2 linked regions of the Alligator mississippiensis genome follow. The protein of the gene in region 2 interacts with the protein of the main gene of each other region in a biochemical or structural test. Links are inferred from orthologs where the notes say so. Each region holds a gene or a part of one and is shown on either strand. Other genes may lie near its edges.

The links.
Region 1: the proteins of TBP (region 2) and GTF2E2 form a complex in vitro, tested with the Homo sapiens proteins (2 studies listed by BioGRID). The link is inferred for Alligator mississippiensis from reciprocal best matches to the Homo sapiens genes TBP and GTF2E2.

The regions. Positions count from the first base shown.
Region 1 is NC_081825.1:169,002,034-169,009,132, forward strand, and holds the start of GTF2E2 (transcription initiation factor IIE subunit beta), read left to right. Parts: upstream 1-4,082; 5' UTR 4,083-4,155; exon of another isoform or gene 4,156-4,226; intron 4,227-4,909; 5' UTR 4,910-4,913; coding exon 4,914-5,073; intron 5,074-7,099. UniProt on the Homo sapiens protein: Recruits TFIIH to the initiation complex and stimulates the RNA polymerase II C-terminal domain kinase and DNA-dependent ATPase activities of TFIIH. Both TFIIH and TFIIE are required for promoter clearance by RNA polymerase.
Region 2 is NC_081824.1:147,741,662-147,749,194, reverse strand, and holds the start of TBP (TATA-box-binding protein), read right to left. Parts: upstream 3,013-7,533; 5' UTR 2,786-3,012; intron 1,133-2,785; 5' UTR 947-1,132; coding exon 893-946; intron 1-892. Other genes in the region: PSMB1 (proteasome subunit beta type-1), read left to right, coding at 3,220-3,329, 5,209-5,316, 6,623-6,704, 7,354-7,483. UniProt on the Homo sapiens protein: The TFIID basal transcription factor complex plays a major role in the initiation of RNA polymerase II (Pol II)-dependent transcription.

The DNA of each region.
Region 1 (7,099 bases), on a different chromosome or scaffold from region 2:
GTCCCCCCTAGTGAGTTTATAGACGGTCACCAGGTCCCCCCTCAGCCTTCTCTTGCGAAGGCTGAACAGGTTCAGGTCCCGTAACCTCTCGATGTAGGGTCTGCCCTGCAGTCCCCGGATCATGCGGGTGGCCCTCTTCTGGACCCTCTCAATGTTGTCCACATCCCTCTTGAAGTGGGGTGCCCAGAACTGGACACAGTACTCCAGCTGCGGCCTGACCAGTGTCGCGTAGAGGAGGAGGATCACCTCCTTGGACCTACTTGAGATGCACCTGTGGATGCACGATAAGGTCCGGTTAGCCCTGCCGACCGTGACCTCACATTGTCAGCCCATGTTCATCTTGGAGTCAATAATGACTCCAAGAACCCTTTCTGCCTCTGTGCTCTCAAGAAGGGAGTTTCCCATCTTATAAGTGTGCTGCTGGTTACTACTGCCCAAGTGCAGCACCCTGCACTTGTCAGTATTGAAACGCATCCTGTTTTTGTTAGCCCACCCCTGCAACCTATCCAGGTCTTTCTGCAGTCTCTCCCTCCCTGCTAATGTGCCCACCTCTCCCCATATTTTGGTATCATCAGCAAATTTGAACAGGTTGTTTTTCACCCCGTCGTCCAAATCGCTGATAAAGAAATTGAACAGTGCAGGCCCAAGGACCGAGCCCTGGGGGACTCTGCTGCCCACTTCCCCCCAGGTCGAATATGACCCATCCACCCACCACCCTCTGAGTACGACCCTTCAGCCAATTTGCAATCCATCTGACTGTGTAGGCATCGATGCCACAGTCACCTAGTTTTTTAATGAGGATGGGGTGGTTGACAATATCAAAGGCCTTGCTGAAGTCCAGAAAGACTACATCCATGGCAACACCTGCATCCAATGCTTTTGTGACCTGATCGTAAAAGGCAATCAGGTTGGTCTGACATGACCTGCTCTTAATGAAACTGTGCTGGTTGCCCTTGAGCATCATCCCCGATGCCGACCCATCACAGATGTGCTCCTTGATGATTTTCTCAAAGAGTTTCCCCAGGGTTGAGGTAAGACTGACAGGCCTATAGTTGCCTGGGTCCTCCCTCCTCCCTTTTTTAAAGATGGGACCACATTGGCTATCTTCCAATCATCTGGCACCTGGCCCGAGCACCACGCGTGCTCGTAAAGCCATGCCAAGGGCCCTGCAATAACCCCTGCTAGCTCCCTCAACACCCTAGGGTGGAGAGCATCTGGACCTGCTGATTTGCTCACCTCCAGTAGGGAAAAGGGCAGGGGAGAACAGGGGTAGAGAGGTGGTTGTAATATCAGAGGGAATGGAGGTGGGAGAGAAGAGAGCACGGGGGCCTGGCAGAGCTCTGGCCCCATCCCAGCCTGGTAGTGGTGGCAGCAGTTCCAGCCCAGGGTCCAGCTCCTGGCCAGAGCTGCTGCTCCAACTGTTGCATTGCAGGGCTGGAGCCCTGCTGGATCTGGAGAATAAACAGTAGTGAGGGAAAGGTGAGGAGCAGGGGCAAAGGCTATGGGGAGCAGATGCCAAGAGATGCAGGCATGGGAGGGCATGTAGTGGGGAGGCAGATGCTGGAGTGTGCTGGTAGCAGAGGGGGCAAGTGCTGGGAGAAACAGGCAGCAGGGTACAAGGTATGGGAGAGGGCAGAGGTCATGTTACTTGACTCCCATTGCCTCCCTCCCCACTGCCTGCTCCCCTGCCACTGCTTTCTCCATTGCAGTGGTGAGGGGGACAAATTTAAGACAAGCTTCCAATAATTAAATTCTATACATAGAATAATAGAAAGTTAGGGTTGGAAGAGACCTAAGGAGGACATTTAGTCCAACCCTCTGCTCAAAGCAGGACCATCCCCAACTAGATCATTCCAGCCAAAGCTTTGTCTAGCCAGTTCTTGAAAACCTCCAAGGATGAAGAGTCCTGCGTCTCTCTGGGTAACCTGTTCATGTTTTACTACCCTCCTCATGAGAAAATTCTTCCCAATATCTAATCTCAACTTCCCTTGCTGCAACTTGAGATTGTTGCTCCTTGTTCTGTCATCTCCTACCACTGAGAATAGTCTAGCTCCATCCTCTTTCAAACCACCCTTCAGGTAGTTGAGGACTGCTATTAAATCCTCCCTGTCTTCTCTTCCCTTCACTAAATAAGCCCAGTTACCTCAGCTTGTCCTGAAAAGTCATGTGCCCTAGCCCCTTCATATTTTTGTTGCCCTTCGCTAGACTCTCTCCCATTTGTTTCTGAGTCCAATGATGTAGCCAGTTTTCTATCCACCTTACAGACCATTCATTCAGCCCATACCTCCTTAGCTTGCCTGCAAGGATGTTGTGGGAAACCACATCAAAAGCCTTGCTAAAATTAAGGTACACCACATCCTTGCATCCACAGAGCCAGTCTGTAGTTCCCTGGATTCTCCTTTTTCCCTTTCTTAAATATGGGCACCATATTTGCCCTTTTCTAATCATCCACAACCTCTCCCCATCTCCATGAGTTTTCAAAGATGATGGCCAGAGGCTCTGCAGTCACACCAGCCAACACCCCTTCGGATGCATCCCTGTCTGGCTCCATTGACTTGTCTATGCCCAGCTTTTCTAAGTAGTCCCTAACCTGTTATTTCACTACTGTTGGCTGCTCACCTTCTCCCAAACTGTGCTGCTTGGTGCAGTAGTCTGGGAGCTGACCTTGCCTGTGAAGACTGAGGCAAAAAAGGCATTGAGTATTTCAGCCTTTTCTGCATCCTCTGTCACTAGGTTGCCTCCCCCATTCAGTAAGGGACCCACACTTTCCCCAGTTTTCCTCTTGTTACCAAAATACTTGCAGACACCCTTCTTGTTACCCTTCACATCTCTTGCTAGCTGCAACTCCAATTGCACTTTGGCCTTCCTGACTTCATGCTCTTATACTCCTCCCTCGTTGTTTGTCCAAGTTTCCACTTCTTATAAGCTTCCTTTTTTGTGATTTTAGTTTACTGGAGTTCTCTGCTAAGCTAAGCTGCTCTTCTGCCATACTTGCTAGTCTTCCTGAACATGGTTTGCTCCTGAACTGTTGGTAAGGTTTCTTTAAAAGTACAGCCAACTCTCCTGAACTCCTCTCCCCCTCAGACTGGCTTCCCAGGAGATCCTGCACATCAGTTCCCTGAACAAGTCGAAGTCTGCTTTTCTGAAGTCCAGGGTCCTTACTCTGCTGCTCTCCATCCTTCCTTTCCTTAGGATCCTGAACTCAATTGTCTCATGGTCTCGTGCTGCCCAACTTGCAATCCACTTAACTACATTCCCACCAATCCTTCCATTTGTGAGCAGCAGGTCAAGAAAAACATGGCCCCTAGTTGGCTACTCCAGCACTTGCACCAGGAAGTTGTCCCCAATACTCTCCAAAAACTTCCTGGCCAGCCTGTGCGCTGCTGTATTGTCCTCCCAGCCGGTGTCAGGGTGATTAAAGTCCCCCATGAGAACCAGAGCCTGTGGTGTGGAAACTTCTGTAATAGTGGGCAGAGCAGCTGTTCCTGTGGTTCTGGTGGTGCTTTGCAGGGACCAGGGCTACCTGCCTTGTCCCCCGCCTCCCCCCGGGACATTCCCAATGTGCCCTGAACAGTCCGAGGGAGTCCTCCGACTGCTCAAAGGGTGGGAGTCGGTGCCATGCTTGAGGAGTCCCAGCAGGATGCATGCAGGGCTGCCTAACCCTTTGCCACTAGGGCAGGCCACGGGCAACCAGGGCCCCCACCGTCATTGCTCATGGGGAGGCGGGGACAGAGATAGAGGGCTGTGGGATGTTGGGATCCCTGCGACCTCAGGAACAGCATGATACAGGTCTTCGAGGCGGGACTAGACAGTAACCTGCCCTCCGGAGTACTTGCTGGTTAGAAGAGCTAATTTTTGGGTGCACGAGCTGGTGTGCCAGTTCAAGAAGAACCCTCCCCCCCCCGACAGCCTGTGCGTCATAAAACCTGCTTCGGCGCCCCGGGAAGACTGCTGGACGCCTGCCCGCAGCCCGCGACCGGCACCTAGCTTCCCGCAGCGGCTGGAGCGCGGCCGCTCCGCCCCTCGACGTCACGGTGGGGGCGGGGCCTTCGTGCTGCCGGTCGCTGTGGTAACCGGGGCCGGCCGGCGCCACTTCCGGGTTCGCCCAGCTCGGGCGCCGCAGAGGCTGGTGGGAGCGGCAGCGGCGGCCAATAGGTGAGCGGCTCCTTGTTAGTCTCTTCGTGTATTCCGCGTCTCTCGCCCCGCGCCGGGGTTCGCGCTTGTTGGTGAGTGCGGGGCGGGGCGGGGCGGGGCGGGGGTTCGCGCCCCCAGTGGAGCTGTTGCCGTTGCTGGCGGCGGGAGGCCGGATCTGCCGCGGAGCCGCTCCGCTCGCGTGCCGCCCTGGGGCCCTCTCCAGTGCGGCAGCGAGTCGGCCCGCCTGGGGCCTCGCAGCCGGCCTGGGAGCTCGGCTGGGCGGAGCGGCGGGGGCCAGCGTCCTTGTGCCGGGGACGTTATTTAGCCGGCAGCCTTCAGCGGGAGCAGAGCAACTCGCTGGGCACCGACAGCCTCTAATAAACGACAGGGCTTCATGGTTTTCACCGCGCGGTCTAGTCAGGAGGCTGAATTGTTTTAACTTGAGACAGGCAGGCAGAATGAATGTCAGTTGGGTTGTAAACGTTCCTTGAGTACAGTCTTCAGAGAAATCGTTGGTTTGTGCCCAGGTCAGCTGAGCGGCTGCCCCTCCTTCAGCGCAGGCAGATCCCTCTCCTCTGTGTCGGGAGGTGAAGCTGCAGCAGTTCTAAAACCAAACCCGGAAAGGCACGTGCCAGTGCCTGGCTTCTCTCAGATGCGTGCTTTAGAAGAAAGGAGCAACTTGCCATGTAAAGGAATTCGGAGCCCCGTATGCCTTGAGGTGCCTCATTGATCTGGTTCACTTTTGTTTCCCCCCGCTCCTGTTTTCTTGTCACAGAATTATGGATCCGAGCCTGCTGAGAGAACGAGAGCTATTCAAAAAAAGAGCCCTTTCTACTCCTGCTGTAGAGAAACGTCCAGTGTCTTCTGATTCTTCATCTTCTAAAAAGAAGAAAGCAAAAGTAGAGCAGGGTGGATCATCAAGCTCAAAACAAAATGCAGGTTGGTAAAGTAGCTCTGGTTTTAGGGTTGGTTTTATTGTTTGGCACCTGTGTGTGTCCCAGTTAATTTGAATGGGTCACTGCTTCCATGATCTTAAGTAGCCCGTCATGCTCTAAAGCAGGGGTGGGCAATTATTTCGAGCAGAGGGCCGCTTGCTGAGTTTTGGCAAGCCATCGAGGGCTGCGTGACAGGCAGCCAAGGGCAGATAAATATTAATTTTCTAAATTTTTTAGGGGCTCTACGGGCCAGATAGAATGGTCTGGCTGGCTGCATCTGGCCCCTGGGCTGCATTTTGCCCACCCCTGCTCTAAAGCAATGGGGCCAAACCTTTTTGGCAGGCAGGCCACAAGTTAAGCCCCACGCCTCCCAAGGTGCCATGTCCAATCCCCTTCCCCTGCTTGATCTGCTGCTCTGCTTTCTGCTATTTCCTGCCCTATTTGTTTCTTTTCATTTGTCTCCCTGCCCTGTGCTCCCTGCCTGATCTGTTGTTCTGCTTTGTTCCTTGCCCTTGTCTTTTGCTATGTTCCCTGGACCCTTTCTGTTCTCCAGCATGCTACGTGCAGAAGTGGCCTGTTGCATGTGTACTGCAGGTTGACCGCCCGTGCTCTGAAGAGCAGTCTCCTACAGTTCTCGCTTAAGCACCTTAGCATGAGACTAGAGTGGAGATTGTGTCAGCTTTTCCCCCCTGTCTTGAGTTGTGTGCCATCCCTGAAATAGCATAAATGCTACTCTGAATTTTTCAGTCAGTTTATGCTTGACCTTGGTGCATGAAGAAGTTCTTGATGCCCATGGCTCTGCAGTGCTCTAGCTCAGTTGTGTTCAACTTTTTTTGCCAGATGAGCAGTGCCCAGTCTGTCCACAGGCCAGATCTGGCTGATGATCCTACTCCAGAGATTGGGGTGGGCGCAGCCCCATTGAGTCCTGCAGGGGTGATCTAGTTCAGATCCAGCCATGCAGGGTGGGAGGTGTGCCCTGGTCCTGCAGGAAGAAGGTGGCATGGCCTGGCCCTGAACCAGTAGTAAAGGGAGAAGGGGCACGGCCCAGTCCCAACCTGCTGCACAGACTTGGGAATTTGGCAGCAGAGGAGTTTGGCAGTATTCATTGCTACTGCTCCACTGCTAGACTTCCTGACCTATGAGGAGCTTTGTGGTCTGGATGGGCCACATCTGGCCTGTGGGCTGGAGGATGGACACCCCTGCCCTAGCTCTTTCTACCAGCTCTGCTACTCCTTTTTGTTGTTTCCCCAACTTTGCAATGTTTCTCTATCTAGGTTTGTATGTCAGAGCCAAGTCTCATAGCATCTAATCCTCATCCTCCACACATGCCACGATGTTGTTTAGCCACATGCACGCATGCACACCTCCCCACAATATACAAGAGTAAGACTTCTTTTTAAGCTATTGTACAATCACCTCTATGTACACTATACAAACACAAGTAAATCAGGACAAAATATTTTTTTGAAATCAGATTAATTAATATTGTAGTAGATGTTTGATTTTTAGAATATAATTTGGTATATTTTGGTTCTGAGATGGCAAACCCCCATGCTGAAAAGAGTATTTCCTTGGGCAATGGGGAGGGACTTATGGTGGCAAAAGTTAGGGGGCAGTACTTCCGGTCCTAAGATGGTGACCAGGGTATGGGGCACCTGTCAAGGGTCAGGGCTACCCAAGCAGTCCTTGACAGCTTGTCAAAACTTGGTAAGCAGCCCTCTGCTTGAAATAATTGCCCGTCCCTATTCTAAGTGCTTCCCAATACTCCAAAAAAAAAAAAAAAAAGTGGGGTGGGGAGGGTGGTGGGGGAGAATTCTCTCCCTTCCCTGTATTTCTTGCTATTTATTTATCTAGTTTAATTTGTCTATTCTTGCTGTTTATCTTGAGTGAAAAATGTAAGCTTGGACAAAGAAAAGGATTTTGAATTTTTTGTATAGTATCTCACTCTTCGTGCCGTGAAATCAGTGATCATTGTTTTGTCTTGGAGTACTTCTTGATCTGTAAACCGGTGAAGGTGCTGTGACCTCCGA
Region 2 (7,533 bases):
AGCCCAAACAATAAGAACTTAATATCCCTCAAAGTGTATTTTACTTCACAGAAAAAGTCTCACAACAGCAGTTCCCAATCTGTGGTATGGGTACTACCAGTGGTACGCAGACAACCTGTCAGTGGTAGCATTAACAGATTTATTATAATGACTTTATATGACAAAAATTTGCTGGTGGTACTTTAAATTTAAATTGGTGGTATGTAATCTGTCAGTTTGGGAACCACTGAAATAGAGATAATGCTTTCTCTTCTCCACCAACCAGGAAAGGATTATTCAGTGTCAGTGTATGCATACCACAATGCCTTGTTCGAATACATTTCAATTAGAAAAAAACAAAAGCCAGTGAGATTTTGGGTCATAAGATGCATTTCCTTACAAATATTAAGGATTTGTTTTGCAAATATCTGACTACACTGAAATAATATTTTATCAGAAACTGGAGACACTTAAAAATGCTACCAAAGCTAAAAACAAATGAATGTTTTGATTTGGATTTGAGCATTTTCTCTCTCAGCAAACCCCAGACACAAACCCCAGATTTTACAGACTACTGCCAAAACCATTGTGCTACATTAACTAACTGTGAAGTATTCAAATTAACAGTGTCTCTCAGAATAATCACAGTTAATTCAAGTCAATTGTCATTTAAGTTTTGACTATAAAAGGCTAAGGGACAGTCCAGTTTGCTTTTAGCCTAAAATTTCAAACAAGTTTCCATCAAGCAAATATTCCTGGGACTGCAGATCACCACACTAAGCTGTTGTAGTTGTAAGCATTTATATAGTCAGCATCTAATGGAGTTATTCATGTTTGTTTACACATGAAACTGAAATCCTTTCTGCAAAGACTTTTATCCTGCACTTAAATTTTTTAAATATCTTATTTTTACCTGAGGTGATGCCAGTCCTTGGGCATAGGGCGGCAAGCTGTTGTTCTGATCCATGATTCCAATTACTTCTTTGGTCAGGCCAGAATTATTTCCAGTAATTCAAGAACAATAATTCCACACGATAAAGAAGTCGTTTCCCCTAAAGCATTCCAGCAACTAGATTTTCAGCCACTTCTGAATGATTATTAAAAACATTAGCTCCAGAAAAACGTGTTGCAAATCTAAAACACAATTCAAAACCTGAAAAAGATAGAAAACACTCTTGGTAACAGCACCTTTAAAAATGTATTCAGCCGCATCTTAAGTACATTTTTAAACACATTTCTTTGTACACACCTGTGCTGCCATAGAAACAACCCTTCCCCTAAAAATCTGTCCATACAAGTGGCTTTACTTACATGAACAGACCCGTAGGTTTCAGCAGGACTGCACACACAAGTGATTTCAGGACTGAACCACTGTTTATGAAGACTTCCAAATATATCAGCAAAATGTGCTTAAAATTGTTTAAAGTCTTACCATAATTACAACCTGGATATCTTTAAAGTCTTACCATAATTTTAAAGCGTTCACGAGTTCCAGGCAGTTGGAAGTCATTTAAGAGCAAAATCCTGTTACCCAAAAAATGACCAGGGAAACAACCTCCTTCCCCAGCCTGAACCAGCATAAAGCGCTGAGGCATTTCACCATGAAGATGCACAAAAAATGTTATGAAAAACTAGCAGACAGGGTTATTTGGGCAATGCACTATTCTCTCAAGTGAATTTCAATGCTAGGATGTGTTCCTTTAGCAACAATGTAAAATACTGGATTATCACTGCAATATTAATATTTTATCAATTCTTCTTACAACTTACTGTGTGATCTTTTATTAGACCAACCCAATAGTTGGAAAGATCGTTTTTTGCAAGCTTTTGGGCACAAGCACTTCTCCAGGCATGGGGAGACTCTGCTGGTGTTTGTGCACTCTCACGCTACTATAATAGTAATAATTATTATTATCGTTATCCTATTAAAAAATGCAAGTCTACGAAACCCAAATGTGCAGCAATGAGGACAAGAAGAGATGAGAGTCTGCAACAGCCGACTCCCACGAGAAAGGAGCGGTTTGCCGAACTGCCCTGCCTGCCCGCTGGTAGCACACCAGTGCGCTGCAACCAGGCCGCTCCTCTCTGAGGCCAGATGCTGGGTGCATGCAGGCTAGGGCGGCCATCATAGGGGACAGTCTGGTTGTCCTCTGTCCTCTACTGCTATGAAACCCCATGCCTTTATGTCCTCTATTTTTCTCTTCAAGAAAGAGAAGTCAGGTTCCTTGAAGAGAAAGGCATTGGGTCTCTTGAAGAGAAAAATAGAGGACATTATGGCATCAGGTTTCATATCAATAGAGGATGGAGGAACAGAAAAGCAGACTGTCCTCTATGATGGCCACCATAGTGCAAGCAGGTATGGCTTTCTACAGCAACCGCTTCGCCGGGGAGGGGGAAAACTCCCAGGTTTCTTTTCTGGCAGCAGGGAAGCCTGGAGAAAACCTGCTCACCTAGTACTATAATTATTATTTGTAATTTAATAATATTTCCTTATAAATAATTGCTTATTTAATAATAATCTATAAACAAGTGAAGCATGAGTGTGCCCACGTGGATGCGTGAGGCGCGGGTCCCGCGTGGGGTGGGGGGGCAGAACCGTTACCCTGGGCTCCCCCCCCCCGCTCCCCCAGCGGCTCCACGGGGGGACGGGGTGAGGGCCCTGCAGCGCCCGGCGGGGGGAGACGCCAACGGCCGCTTGGAACCAGCGCTCGCGCCGCAGGCGGGCGGGGAAGGGCCGCGCGGGCCCGACATCAGCAGGCTCCGCCCCCCACCGCGCGCGAAGGGGGAATAGAAGCGAGGCCGGTACCTTCCGCTCTAGGCCCTCCGCCCGCTGCCCGGACCCAGCGTCGGCTGCAGCACCGATGGTAACCCCAGCCTACACCGCCGCGCGATCAAAATGCGTCAGTTCCGCCCGTAGCAGCCTTTATTTCCCCCTCCCCTCGAATCCCGCTCGGCGGCCATCTTGAGAGAGGGCAAAGCAGCCTACTACACGGCTCCTCCCGGAGCTAGGGAACACCGCCCCCGGGGTGACATGCTTGGGAAAAAGGTCCTGCCAGCTCAGCGCATGCGCCGCACGCCGCCCTATAGCTGTGGAGGGGGGTGGTTCCCCACCTTGGGAGCAGACGAGTTGGAGGGGGAACCTAGAGCGTCTTCAAGAGCGAGGCTGGGAGGACTTCCGCTTCCGGTGCTGCCATTTTGCCGTGAGACAGCAGGCACGGCCTGGATCGGAGGCACTGCAGGATGCTGTCGTCTGCGTTCGCTGCTGGCTATGCGGAGCCCGGGCTCAGGCGGGACTGCGGCCTCGGCGCTGCCACGAGCCACCGCTTCTCCCCCTACACCTTCAACGGCGGGTGAGCCGCCCCGGCTGCCTGCCCCTCCCCCGGCCGCCCCTGCCTGTCCCCGGCCGCGTGGGGTCCCCTCCAGCGGCGGAGGCGCCGCCCCGCTTGGAAAAGAGGCGCGGGGGGGAGGTGAAGGGTTTGCCGGGCGGGGGGTTAGGATGGATGATCTACTGAAGTCCCTTCTGACCCCCAAAATCTTTGAGGTCGTAGGTTAATAACTAAGGCATCAGAAGTGGACGCCGAACCGAGCACACTGGCTAGCACCTCTGCCCCTTGAAGGGGTCGAGGGAGTCTGTGGACGCCGGTCAGTGACACTCAGTGTGGTGATGTGAACGGAAGAGCGCCAGGGAAGTGGCCCCGCACTTGCCTGTGCTTCTCCCGACCACAGCCTCCTTCCTGGTCTTACAGATGGCTAGTTTGGCCAGGAGGTCCCGGGACGTGGTGGGACTGCGGGCGGGAAGTCTGTGAAAGAAAAGGTGCAGGGAGCAGTGTAGCCAGGCCCTCAGCAGGAGGTTCTGGAGGAGGTGGAAGAGGGGCAGCGACCAGGTGCGCTTGAAGCAGGCGCCCTGTGACACAGGAGATGGGGAGAGTGGACCCGTGCTCTGACCGAAGAAATAGCAGCTCTTATGAGCAGTTCTGTCCCTTTGTGCCATATCCAGGACTCATGGCTCTTAACAGACTGGGCTGCAGCTTCCCCCTGAAACTTCCCAGAGATGTGAGCAGATGAGTGAGAGGAAACAACCTCACACCAGCCTGAGATTCCCCTGGCCAGAACCTTGACTTCCCACAGGAGGTGGTAGGAGCTGGTAGCACAGCCACTTTCAAAAAAGGGGCCTGGGTGCATTCATGGAGGATAGATCAGTTAATGGCTTTTGAATGGTATGGTAGATGTTTTCTCTGGTGTCTCTAAACCAAGAGTGGCAGATGCTAAGGAGGGTGATGAACAGGGGATTGATCACTAGGTCTGGTTTGATGCTCCCCCTTTAGTTTCCACTTCTGACACTGTTGAAGACAGGTCTATTTGCTATGCCAAGGGAAACGTTGGCCTAGGCCCATCGCAAAAACTATAAGCCTCCCTTGTTCACTAGAGGCACGGCAGCTGATTACCCAGGACACCTCAAAAGAAAATGGGCAGGACTGATGGTTACAGGTTTATAACAAGACTTCTGAAGGGAGGGCACTGAGCAGAGAACGTGGGGCTGTACTGAGCTAGATGGACCATTGGTCCAACCCAGCATGGCACTTTACGTTCTTAGCCTGATGCACCAGTAATTGACTGGTCCAGAAGCATTTTCATAGTTTGGACTGCATTTTAAGGCAGATGGTGCCAAGCAGCTTTCCTAGTTCATAAGCCCACAGTTCACATGCAGCAGCTATGACAGTTGGCTATTTGAAAAGAATATGGGGGGGGGAATGTGAGAGCATTGCTCCTTAATTACAGATTTGCCTCGTATCTGTGGGCTGTTTCATCTTGCCATTCGTAAGGCTTTCTATTATTAGGGTTGAATTACTGCCAGTTTTTAGGCTGGTTACAGTGCTCACCAAAAGCTTCTGTCACCTTGCTAGTCTGCTGAATTCCTCTGATTTCTGTAAACTTAATTATAACTGAATTTACACACACATCCCACATAGCATGTAGATGTAAATGAGCTGCAACAGTGCGCTTTTTGTTCCATTTCTTAAAAAATGAAAAAAGAAAACAAATCTTATGCCATGTAGGAAGAAATAGAACTTCCTGTAGAATGAAAGCTGCTCCATCACTGACAAATCTTTTCAAACCAGACTGAGAACCACTCATTTGGTGTGCCTTTTCCTCTCTGTTGAGTGAATGTTTATGTTAGAAATTGTAATTCTATATTGATTTACTTTTTTTTTTTTTTTTTTTTTAAAGGACCGTGTTGGCAATTGCTGGAGAAGACTTTTCTGTCGTTGCCTCAGACACACGACTGAGTGAAGGTTATGCAATTCATAGCCGGGACAGTCCCAAATGCTACAAACTGTAAGTTTTAATCTTGGGCAAAGTAAAAACTTGCTTATAAGATCTGTTCCACTGATTAACTTAGTAACCTGTAGAGGGTCAATGACTAGCATTTTCATTTGCAAAAGGACGTTTCAGTAAGAAAGCAATCTGGCTGCATTTGTACTCTCTTGTAATGCCATAATTGAGATCATATTTCTTAGTTTGACTCTAATACTTGAATTTCACTGACAAAGGATGTTTTTCAATACCAAATTAGACTTGATTTTAAAAATACAAGCTAAGTAGACAGACTATTTTTTGGATGAATACCAATGAGAAGATTCAGTTAATTGTAGCAGTGCTTAGCTCTGCAGCAAGTGGCTTTGTTTCTTCTGGATGCCTGGTAGTTGGGACACAAGTGCTACCACTGCTGGCTATACCCCAGGTATGTCACTATTTCACTGTTGCTTCAGTAGACCATCTGGCACTTCAGAGCTGTCTACTTCACTGGAGACCATCAGGGAACCTGTCAGCAATTCCATTATCAAACTTGTTTCACATTCTTCATATGCTTCCTTCAAAGCAGCTGGATAGTGTCCCCTTGGTTTCAGCAAGTTTATTGTTACTTGCATTTAAATGCCTCACTCCCACTCTAGGCTGCCACTAGCTACAGAGGCAAGCCCTCTGCTATCATTGGCACAGTTCTCAGGGGTTCAGGTTTCTCCTGGCTAGCTCCTTAGCATATCAGTAGCTTCCTCGTAGTATCAAGATAGGTTTTCTTGGCACCATCTCTTGTATTGAAATAAGTAGCTTTGGTAATACTGACAAACATGAATTAAGACAATATTTTCATCTTTAGATTGTTGAAGTTAATTGTGCTCTACAGCTGTCTAGATGACATCCTATGAATGGTATATTTCATAGTTGAGTTTGTAAATGCTTTTAGGTTTGAAGTATCTGTCTCCCTCTAATTTTTAATAATGGTTTAATATTAAAAACCTGTATCTGTATAGTTTTTTTTCTATTCCACCTCAAAGCACTGGTAAAATCTGTAAATCTGGATGTAAGGCAAATTGGTTAAATCGCATACCCATCAAATTACCTGGCAGAAGTGGGATTAGAATTTTTTTCTCCTATTTTACAATTTTTCACTTTTAACCACTCATCTGAGTGGCTTCCATTTTGGGGGTCTGCAGATTCCTACTGAACAGGCTGATGCAATGCATTAAAGGAAGCTAGGTATACAAATATTCCATGTTTTTCAAATGATTTTATGCTAGTGGTGATATGATAGTTTGTAGTCATGGGGCACGCTAAAACATTTTCCAAACTTTGCATTTTACAGAACAGACCAAACAGTCATTGGATGCAGTGGTTTTCATGGTGACTGCCTTACGCTTACGAAAATTATTGAAGCAAGATTAAAGGTAGTTACAATATTAATAATGTTTTGTATGTAAAAAAACAAAAAAAAACCCAAAAAACCCAAAAAACAAAGAACAAAAAAACCCCAAAAAAACCCAACCAAACAAAAAAAACAAACAAAAAAATTGTAAGAACCTTACTCTTAGTCAAGTGTAATAGAGCAATAATGTGACCAAATGAAGAACTTAAAATGTAACTAGTGAATTAAAAAGGGTCATAGTTTTGATTCGGGTGTTCTCCTGACATTGGTTGTGTCCAGTGTAATGCAATGCTTCCTATTTTAACTGAGTAAAATTAAAAATATTGAATATGCAAATCTTGAAGCTAGTTTTAATACCCTAACAGTACTATAACCAGGTAATGATATCTGTTCTTTCAAAACTTGTAGGACACAAATTTGGTGTCTGAACTTCTGATACATTAGGCAAGAAAAGAAATGCACCACATTTAAATTTTGACAAACTCATTTTTAGACTGATTATTTTTAGCAATCGTATGCATTCCAGTCGCAACTTCTGCTTTGTCCATCTGCTTCCTTTTTAATAAAGCACAGTATGAAAATTTCTTTCTGTAAAAATAATCTTTAGAATTCACTCTATATACACTATTGTTTTAGTATTTAACCTGCTTGTGTTTTGCATTTGATTGTAGATGTACAAGCATTCCAACAACAAGACGATGACTACTGGGGCTATTGCAGCAATGTTGTCAACAATCCTGTATTCTCGACGCTTCTTTCCTTACTATGTTTATAACATAATCGGTGGACTTGACGAAGAAGGTAAGACTTAAGTTATGGTGTGCGGGGAAGGGAGAGGGACTCATTTCTGG